Linked DNA regions of Nothobranchius furzeri. The protein of the gene in region 1 purifies or fractionates together with the protein of each later gene. This does not show direct contact. Links are inferred from orthologs where the notes say so. Each region holds a gene or a part of one and is shown in the gene's direction. Other genes may lie near its edges. The genes, in order: washc3 and capzb.

Evidence for each region.
Region 2: the proteins of washc3 (region 1) and capzb purify together in Homo sapiens (co-immunoprecipitation; 4 studies listed by BioGRID and IntAct, with this or other methods). This does not show direct contact. The link is inferred for Nothobranchius furzeri from reciprocal best matches to the Homo sapiens genes WASHC3 and CAPZB.

Annotation. Positions count from the first base shown.
Region 1 is NC_091741.1:43,372,096-43,376,886, reverse strand, and holds the start of washc3 (WASH complex subunit 3), read left to right. Parts: upstream 1-1,748; 5' UTR 1,749-1,883; coding exon 1,884-1,934; intron 1,935-3,430; coding exon 3,431-3,529; intron 3,530-3,631; coding exon 3,632-3,697; intron 3,698-3,769; coding exon 3,770-3,907; intron 3,908-4,791. Other genes in the region: uncharacterized protein, read right to left, coding at 1-11, 84-179, 266-367, 450-652, 1,373-1,406. UniProt on the Homo sapiens protein: Acts as a component of the WASH core complex that functions as a nucleation-promoting factor (NPF) at the surface of endosomes, where it recruits and activates the Arp2/3 complex to induce actin polymerization, playing a key role in the fission of tubules that serve as transport intermediates during endosome sorting.
Region 2 is NC_091743.1:46,417,071-46,421,152, forward strand, and holds the start of capzb (F-actin-capping protein subunit beta), read left to right. Parts: upstream 1-1,282; 5' UTR 1,283-1,514; coding exon 1,515-1,517; intron 1,518-4,082. UniProt on the Homo sapiens protein: F-actin-capping proteins bind in a Ca(2+)-independent manner to the fast growing ends of actin filaments (barbed end) thereby blocking the exchange of subunits at these ends.

The DNA of each region.
Region 1 (4,791 bases):
GGAAACACCTCCTGTAGCACCGAAAATGGTCTTTTAAACTCTGAAGTTCAGTCAGATAAGTTTGTTTTAAAAAGTTGCCTCACCTGAAAAAAATATGCTCTTTCAGCCGGATCTTTGAGCAAGCTCTGAACAAGTGCAATAAAAGTGCACTCGGTTGTTCTCACCTCTGTGTCCACAGTCTGCAAAAAAAATCATATCATATCACTCAGAGAGCGCTCTTCAAGAAAACATTGACATTTGCATCAAGTATCATTAGTTTACATACGTCTGTGGTTGCAGAGGTAACTGGGAATCCCTCCAAGTAGGTCTGGATCACATCAGAATCAACATCGTGTCGAGCAGAACCCTTGCACAACTCCAAAATCAACTGAAATATCATCAAAATATGTTAATGCACGACTGAGACACCAAAACAAGAACGTTTGCATGTGAAACAAAACACCATTCACCCTGGCCTTCAATCCGAGAAGGAGATGCGCTCTCTGTCTGTGGTTGATCAAACCAGGAACTGCTTCTGTCAGCATGGACACAAACTCCTGCAGCTTCCCATAGTTCATCACATCTTTCCCCTTCATCAGATTCCACATAGCAGCAGACAGAAGATGCAAGGGAGGCACCAGGAGGCGAAAGGAGGGCAAAGGGAAGTTTGGGTCTGAAACATTAATGTGTAAAGTCAGAAATGACCGATGGAGGGCAGTAACACACCCCCTAATTCAGAGAGCATTCAGAGTACTTGCAGGAAACAGCAGGTGGATAAAATTTTCACGATGTGATTTTGCAAAGTTCTCACATTTTACACATAACTGAAACAGTTATTGGCTTCATACAGATAATTAAAAACAATCAAGCAATAAAACAATCACGTGATCTGTTACATTGTTGTCTGTCATTTGCTTGCTTGCTTGCTAAAGTCACTGAGACCAGTCAGTGACTGGATGCAGTTTGCTGGGTTCCTTATATAGGAAACTTTTTTTCCTGATTGGCTTAATGAACTGACCTGTATTGGAATGTTAACTATGTGAAGTGCCTCGAGACGACTCTTGTCGTGATTTGGCGCTGTATAAATAAACTTGAATTGAATTTGAGCTACAGGCTTTTGAACTGGAGAAAATCCTGGACAGATCTTTAACATTTTAGATACACAATCTGGAAAATGTCCACAGATGTTACTCAAAAGCTTCGCAACTTAGTTAAAACAATATATCGCGTAAGAGTGTCTGTACATTTAACAGCAAGCTAACTTCCACTGCGCAACAACAACAGTCTGCCAAATAATGAACATTGTGGTTCCTTTAAATAGACAGAGCCCACTGATAGTAAAACAAACACGTCTCCAGAAAATATCAGAAAGGCAAACTGGTAACATACATACCCTCCATTTTTTCTTTTGATTCCACAACTTCCATTAAAGCATCCCACCAAGTGAATTTGAGGAATCTGTGTATATTTGTGCTGTTTGTTTTGGTGGCTAATGCGCTATTAGAGCGCAAGCATCGCTTCCTCAAGTATTCACTCAAGTTTCCGCTTTTCAAAATATATGTCTGAAAGACGTGTTTTGGTGTTTTCTAATGAATTTCAGAATGCTATTATTTTCAAGTTCTTTTTTACTTCAAAGCCAATGACTAGATAAAGAAAAAGTTTAGAAAATTTCGACAGCTCGAAATATAAAAGTGTGAATTCGAGTGCATTGATGCCTCTTCAAAATAAAAGTTAATCATTTCCTTTTCCTAGAGTGACGTAATCACGTAGCCAGTCACACTGCTCAGTGTCACGTGAAGCCTTCAACGGTGTAAATGTTTTGTTTCATGTCATTTTTTCTTTCAAATTTCGTGCCATTAGACCTGAAACCACATTCCTATTCACAGGAAGTGTAAAACGCTAACATGGACGAGGACGGCCTGCCGTTAGTCGGGTCAGGAGTCGATCTTACGAAGGTTTGTGTTTCTAACTGGTTAGCTAACACTGAAAACCTGAGAACCCAAAGCTATGTTTGTGCTTTTTAACAAAATATATAATCACTAATGCAGAGAAAACTGTGGCCTTTTTCTAACTAATTTCACCTACTTGTAACTGTTTGCCTAGTCATTTTCCTTTTGGTTTGTTCTAAAGAAGTATCAAAAGAGGAAAGAACGTTTTCTCTCCGAACACTGATGTTCTATTTGAATACATCATTCATTAGATTCTATTACCGGTGTTGTGCCGAAAAGAGCTTGTCTGCGAAAATGTGCATCCCCTGCGGGAAGGCGCGTATGAGACCGCTTTTTAATAAATGTGTACAACATGAGCTGCATCCTTCCTTACAAAATGATGGTTTATGAGCAAATAAGTAAAATAAACTACTGTTTATAACATGTTTTATTTTAAGTAATATAATGCACATATAAAAGGTTAGTCATTTTGAGTCTGCTTTTTTAAACCAACAAAATTGTTTAATACTTGCTAAAACATTAGTGTCAAACGTGTTGAAAAAGGTCAATTATTTAATCATTATTTCATCATATTTGTAGTCAAAAACAAAATCTTTTCAGGAGAAACACGGATTAGAAACGTGTTCAAATTCTGAATTGCTCATAATTCAAATTCTTCTTCAATTTGCGTCTTTCGACGGGGATACACATTTCGGTAGGCGTGCTCTTTTCGGCACAACACCTGATATACAGTAGTCTGTTATTCCAAATGTTTTTCCTCCACACCGATTTGCATCCATTATATGCAAAGTCAGACATGTGGGTAGAGTAGCCAGAGATTATACTCAAATAAGAGTAGCATTACTTTCATATATGTTTACTTGAGTAGTTAAAAAAAAGTACAAAAACTGTGTTTGCAAAAAAGCTGCTCAAATAATGAGTAATCATAACAGCTCCTTTAATTTATAAAATCCATTCAAACAGATAATAGTATAATGTTATATGATAAATTATATAATGTAAAGACTTAATTAAAATGTTGCATTTCTTTTTCCTAAAAATACTCAAGTAAATATAATTAGTAACTACCCAACACAGAAAATCAGATTTGATAGTTTTCATCATTCTTTTTGCCATTAGCATTTTGTTTGATGCAAGACTTTAAAGGTAGAACTCAGCTGCTTTTAAAATTCTCTCAAATACTTGAAACTTTGCAATAATCCACAGGTTACTGTATGTTATTGTGTTGTTTAAATAACACTGCTAACACATGACCCTGGTCTGTTTATGTAGATGTTGTTTATTCTCCCTGGTGTTAATTGTTGTTTTGTACTGCTTTGTTTCAATAAAGATTTACAAAAAACATTTTAACAGCAGTAGTTAAAAGTCATTTTAGAATCCCCTCAATATTATTTAAAGCCATAACATTCAAAAATCAATTATACTAGAGGTTTATGTTTAGTAAAATAAACTATAGTAACACTTGGTAAGTTTTTAATTATACTGCTTTTATCTTTTCTCAGGTTCCTGCAATACAGCAGAGACGAATCGTTGGATTTCTCAACCAGTTTGTTGTGCACACCGTACGATTTCTTAACCAGTTTTCCACCGTGTGTGAAGAGGTTTGTGTTTGTTTGTTTGTTTTTTACTCCTTAATGCTTCTTCTGCCTCAGAATATGAACTCAAATTATGTATTTATTTATTTTTTTTACTTCTCTTCACAGAAACTTGCAAACATTTCTCTTCGCATACAGCAGATTGAAACCACACTCAGCATTTTAGAGGCTAAGGTAACTTGTGAGACCTTGATACCGTTTCTGGATGTTGTCTTTTCACTTATGCAGTGACATTGTTCTGAGCAGCTGTCCTCTATTCCTGGACTGGAGGACGTCACAGTAGAGGGCCTCAACCAACAGCAGGCCTCCCACACTAAAGGACCCAGTACTATCGGTCAGAACCTAACTAACGGTGTAGCAGCAGGACCACCTTCTTCCTCAGAGGTAGGAGTTCAGACCCACCTGCAACAGACATGCAGGTTCAATCGGCCACGATGAATGCCAAAACAGTCTTTGTGTCTTTTTTCTTGTTTGGGAGTCTGTGATGCCAAAAATCGGCAGTTGAACTTTTCTTTTTAAGTCGGAATGTAGATTGTCATCAGCTCTTTGGTCGATGCAACAAGTAGAAACCTGCCGTCAACGCAACTGTTGTTTTGTTTTCTTTTGGAGTTTACGTACAAAAAAGGCTCAACATTCCCCTCCTGTTGTAAAGGATAGACTTTTAGTTTTGAGAACCTTCAAAGAAGTATGTTTGTTACTGGCTGCTTTGTTTGCATAGTGATCGGATTGGATTTTGATTGTCCTCCTCACACTCTGACAGGATTGTAAAATCCTATCCAGAAGTGTGACGTTACATATTTACAGTGAGAAAGGTGGAAAACCTTCAGGGCAGATTTCCTGAGTCTGCAGCACAGAGTTCAGGCCGAGGTCAGTAAACAAGCCATCACTTTTGGTTAAAACAGTGCACCAGGTCAGCTCAAACACCTCCTGTCCTCTGTAAAGCACGGTGGCAGGGGGCTGATGATTTGGGCTTATTTCTGCAGTGACTGAGTCAAACATGAACTCCTCTTTACACCAAAGTGGTCAGACTTAAACTGAAGTATAGATTGGGTCTCGCTGATTAATTCCCATCGTTACTGTGCAAACAAGACAGGCTTGCGCCATTTGTGATGAGATGTATGTCATGTTTGCACAATGACGCTGCACGTTATTCAGCGATCCACTGTCCACGTCCATTTTGGAAGTATTTTTAGCTGTGAGACACCTGATCATAGAAGATAAGATAAGATAAGAACAACTTTATTTATCCCGAGGGAAATTCTTGTGTC
Region 2 (4,082 bases), on another chromosome or scaffold:
GGTGGTGGTATGAGGGACTGGTGGCACCAGTGCTAGACAGCCTCACTTCCATCAGTGCACCCCAGGGCAGCTGTGGCTACATTGTAGCTAATCATCACTACCGTGTGAATGTGTTTGTGCATGGGTGAATGCAAGGATGTGGTTTTGACTTTAGACATGGGGGATGTCTAGATGAAGAACGAGGCTCTGTCCTTTACTTCCATTCTCATTTATCTAGCATCGATTAACAAGGGCTGCCTATAGGTGTGCATAAGCCTTGATTACCGATATGGGATTGAATCCACCTGAGAATCGTTTGTGGCGCCGGCGAATCTGGGAGGGGAGCGCCTGATCAAGCAGGGATTTATCAGGAGATCCCGATGATGAAAGCACATCCTGTTTACAACCTGGAACGACAACAAGAATGGCCAATCACACGTTAGTAAGTATCAGCAGAGCCAATAGATGAGCTCATGGATGGTTCTAATGAGAAACAGGCGTAAACACAAGTGGTTGTTTTCTGCTTGGTCCTAGTGGTCAACCAATGTCTATTTAATACAGCGTGATATTGTTTTTGGATGGTAAAAAGTGAAGAGGACAAAAAAATGTCATTGGAAAACATTGGGGGAGGGGGTGGGACAGGTGAATGACTGATTGTGTTGTGAAGTGCCTTGGAGGGTTGTAGAACTCTAGAAGGTATATGAGAACACATGCAGGCCATTTACTATAAATAAATAAAGATGTGTCAGAAGTGTCCTACATTTTGTTCCGATTTCAAAACACAGGTATGTTTAGTTTTTCAGTAACTGAGCATCTTTTTAAAATTTTGATTAAACAAAATCTTTTATTTGCATTTGATTTATCATTTTTAATTAATCCTCTCATGATTCATGAAGTCTGAAATTTATGACTTGCAGACCTATATTTGAATAACATTGCCTAAGCATTCTATGAAACAACCTTGATAAAGAATGCATAAAACAGCAAAACCTCTTTCTACGGTCACTGAGCAAAACTAAATTTCTGAACACGGCCAGTTTCAAATGATAATGTTCAGTTCTAATTATATAAATGTTGACAGGAAGAATTTTAATTGTAATATGGATGACAGGTTTTTATGTTGTTATTATTATTTATTTGTAGTTTCAGTTTGCAATTATAGTTTTTTTTTCAGTAGCTGTCCATCTTCCGCCCTCCCTGGCTGCATATTTGCTGCTAAGCTCATCTCTTTCCATACTTGGCAATGCCTTTCTTGCTCCGTCGCTATTGGCTGATGCAAACTAACCCCCAGTGACCCGGATGTACAAGCGGGGCCTGTTTTCTCACCGCAGCCTCCTTCCTATAGCCCGGGTTGAGGAAGTAAATTTCGCTGACAGGGCTGGGTTCAGAAAGGGAGAGGCGAACAAAACATCTTCCGCGGGGTACTAAGTATAAATAAAAACGACAAGAGACCAGAGAAGTACGTTGGCAAATCACCACAAAGCTAAGGTGTACAGTCATCGGTGATATCGATCCCCGCTGAGACCGCCGCAGACATGGTAAGGCCCTCGGAGAAGCTGGTTGGAGATGGGGTTTTAGGCTTTGGCTGCGGTTGCTTTTTCACTCAGCTGCTGGTTGGAGGAGCTGGGTGGTAATTTGAGAGGAGCACGGAGCACAAATCACTGAGTGCATCCAACTTGCGTGGCTAGCAGAACTTCTGCGTGGCGAAAAGTATTATTTAGCTTCATGGCTAAGTTGCTAGTTAGCTTCCTGCTAACAGTAGTCAATCTACTTGCCTCATAGGTAAAGTTAACACAGGATGTTTTGTATTTGACACAAGTTTGCTACAGCAGGGATCAATCCTAATTTAGCTCTCTCTCTCACACACACTCACACAGTTCATCCACCCTTTTACTCTGGCTGAAACAGCCAAGCACGGAGTGGCTCGCAGCTAAAATAAGAGCGCTTGCTCCTACTATTTCTAATCATGACAAGTTGGCTGCCTTTCTCTACATTTTCCTGGATAGGTCTGACACCCAGTCCAGCCCAGTCTCCATGTTCACATGACTTATTTTTAGTCTAATTTTATTCTCGTCAGCCTTAAAATATGGTTACCTTTGTATGTTATGTCAAATTAATCCATAAAACATCATATTGAACTAAACAAAATGACAGAATTTTTCTAACTGTTTAATCTATTGAATTGTATGAACCCCAGATATGTGTGAAAATAACAGCAAAAGTTACAAGGGTTAGAATATTAACTGTTAATGAAATTATTTAAAAATGTAATAAAACAGTTGCTGCAATATTTTTCTATGTTTAGCAACATATTTTAATGTTCTAAGTTTTCCAAACTCTCTGTAAGCCTTTTTTTAGTCTCGTGGTGACTCCAGAGAACCAAAAAGATGCTTGTTATTTATCTGAATTACTAGTTTGACAAGACTCATTCACTTAACACCGCATGAGTGCTTGTTCCATTCAAGTGATATCAAACAGGTTTTCCATAACACTGAGATAATATGAATCTCTTTTCTGCTTCAGTTAATTTGTTGCCCAAAGTTTCAGCAACTCGCGTTTGTTTCCTGACAAAAGTTCAAACACACAATACAATGCAGAGGGTGGCATTTGTTAATAGATATGATGCTTATCTCTTAAAATTCAAACGTATTTGTTTTCTACTCAAACCCTTTTACTAGCTTCATTTTACATCCAGTTTTTTAGCATTTTCTTTCCACAAGTAGGCAGCATGACTGTTTGACGTCAACAGGAACTAAACCAAGTAGAACAGCTGCCCCCGTCTTTAGTCTGTTCTCCTATGACCCCAGAAGTTGCTCGTCTGATCGGTGTTTACATGAAGACAGCAGCACTTGTAAATGCATTGTCAAGAAACACGGGTGTTTAATGAAGCAGAGTGATTCATCAGTTAGAAATTGATTTTAAAAAGTGACCTTTGTGACGGGAGATTTTATGCGAGACACTTCCTATAAACATCTGTTATGTTCTGTTTTAGCCTTAATGAAAATATTTATGCTCAGAGGGCTCTCTGCTTTGTAGCATGTCATTATTCTTGTACCAGATGGTTGATGCATTCTTATGTACTTTAGTATGTTTGCACACTTCAGGTGTGGATTACCCATGTTAGATGGTTTTGTTTACATCTGTAAGGGAAGTGAATTAATCTGGTATAACACATTTTGTTGAGATAGGGGTTTGTTTGTTTGTTTTTCTTCTGTTTCAACATACTTTATTGTTGGTTTATAGGAGCATTGGATTGGGTTTTGTGTCGTTTGTCATTCTTGTTAGCAGAGCTTACATTTATCAGCGGTTCAACTTAGTTCACAAAGACAGAGGAAGAGAAGTCTCAGAACGCTTTACTCATCTCTCTGCACACACACACAGGTGAGACACATTACCTTAAATTTCATCTGACCAACCTGTTTGGAGTCAGGAAGTCACGTAAGCACTCTTAACACCTTCAAAATAAAAGCATGACAAAAACGAGAGCGTAAAAGAAGCATATACATAGCTCAACAATTCTTTGACTTTTTTGCAAACTAAGGGCACACATAGGTGTAATCTGTTGTGTTTTAGTGTATATTTTAGCACCTTAACTATGTAAGTGCTGGAGCAATAAGATTTACATGTGATCTCTGAAGACTTTGTTTCTGTCTGTCTGGTAAAGGTTGGATGAAAACATGTGTAGACACTTCTGCAGCCTGTTATCTCACCTTAAAAATGTCACTCCTTAAAACAGTTTCCTGTTGCAACTGGTCTGCCCACTAAGGTCCTGTCTCATATGGCAGTCTAGGTTGGGCTGGCCCATCTCTGCGCAGCCAGGTTTTGTTCACACAGCCTTCTCAGGGAATTAGGGGTGTAAGAAAATATCGATATGGCAATATATCGTGGTATTTTTTCCTGTGATTATTACATCGATATTCAAAAGCTGTGTATCTCATTCTTGAAAGAATTTACATGCAAACATTTGTGCATTTTCTTTTCGTTTTGTGCAATTCAATCGCCACCCGCTAGTTGGCAGCAGTGTGCAACAGGTTTTGTTTCCACCACTGAAATGTAAATCCCTCCATCATGGTTCTGATACCTCACGTTAAACATGTTGCGTA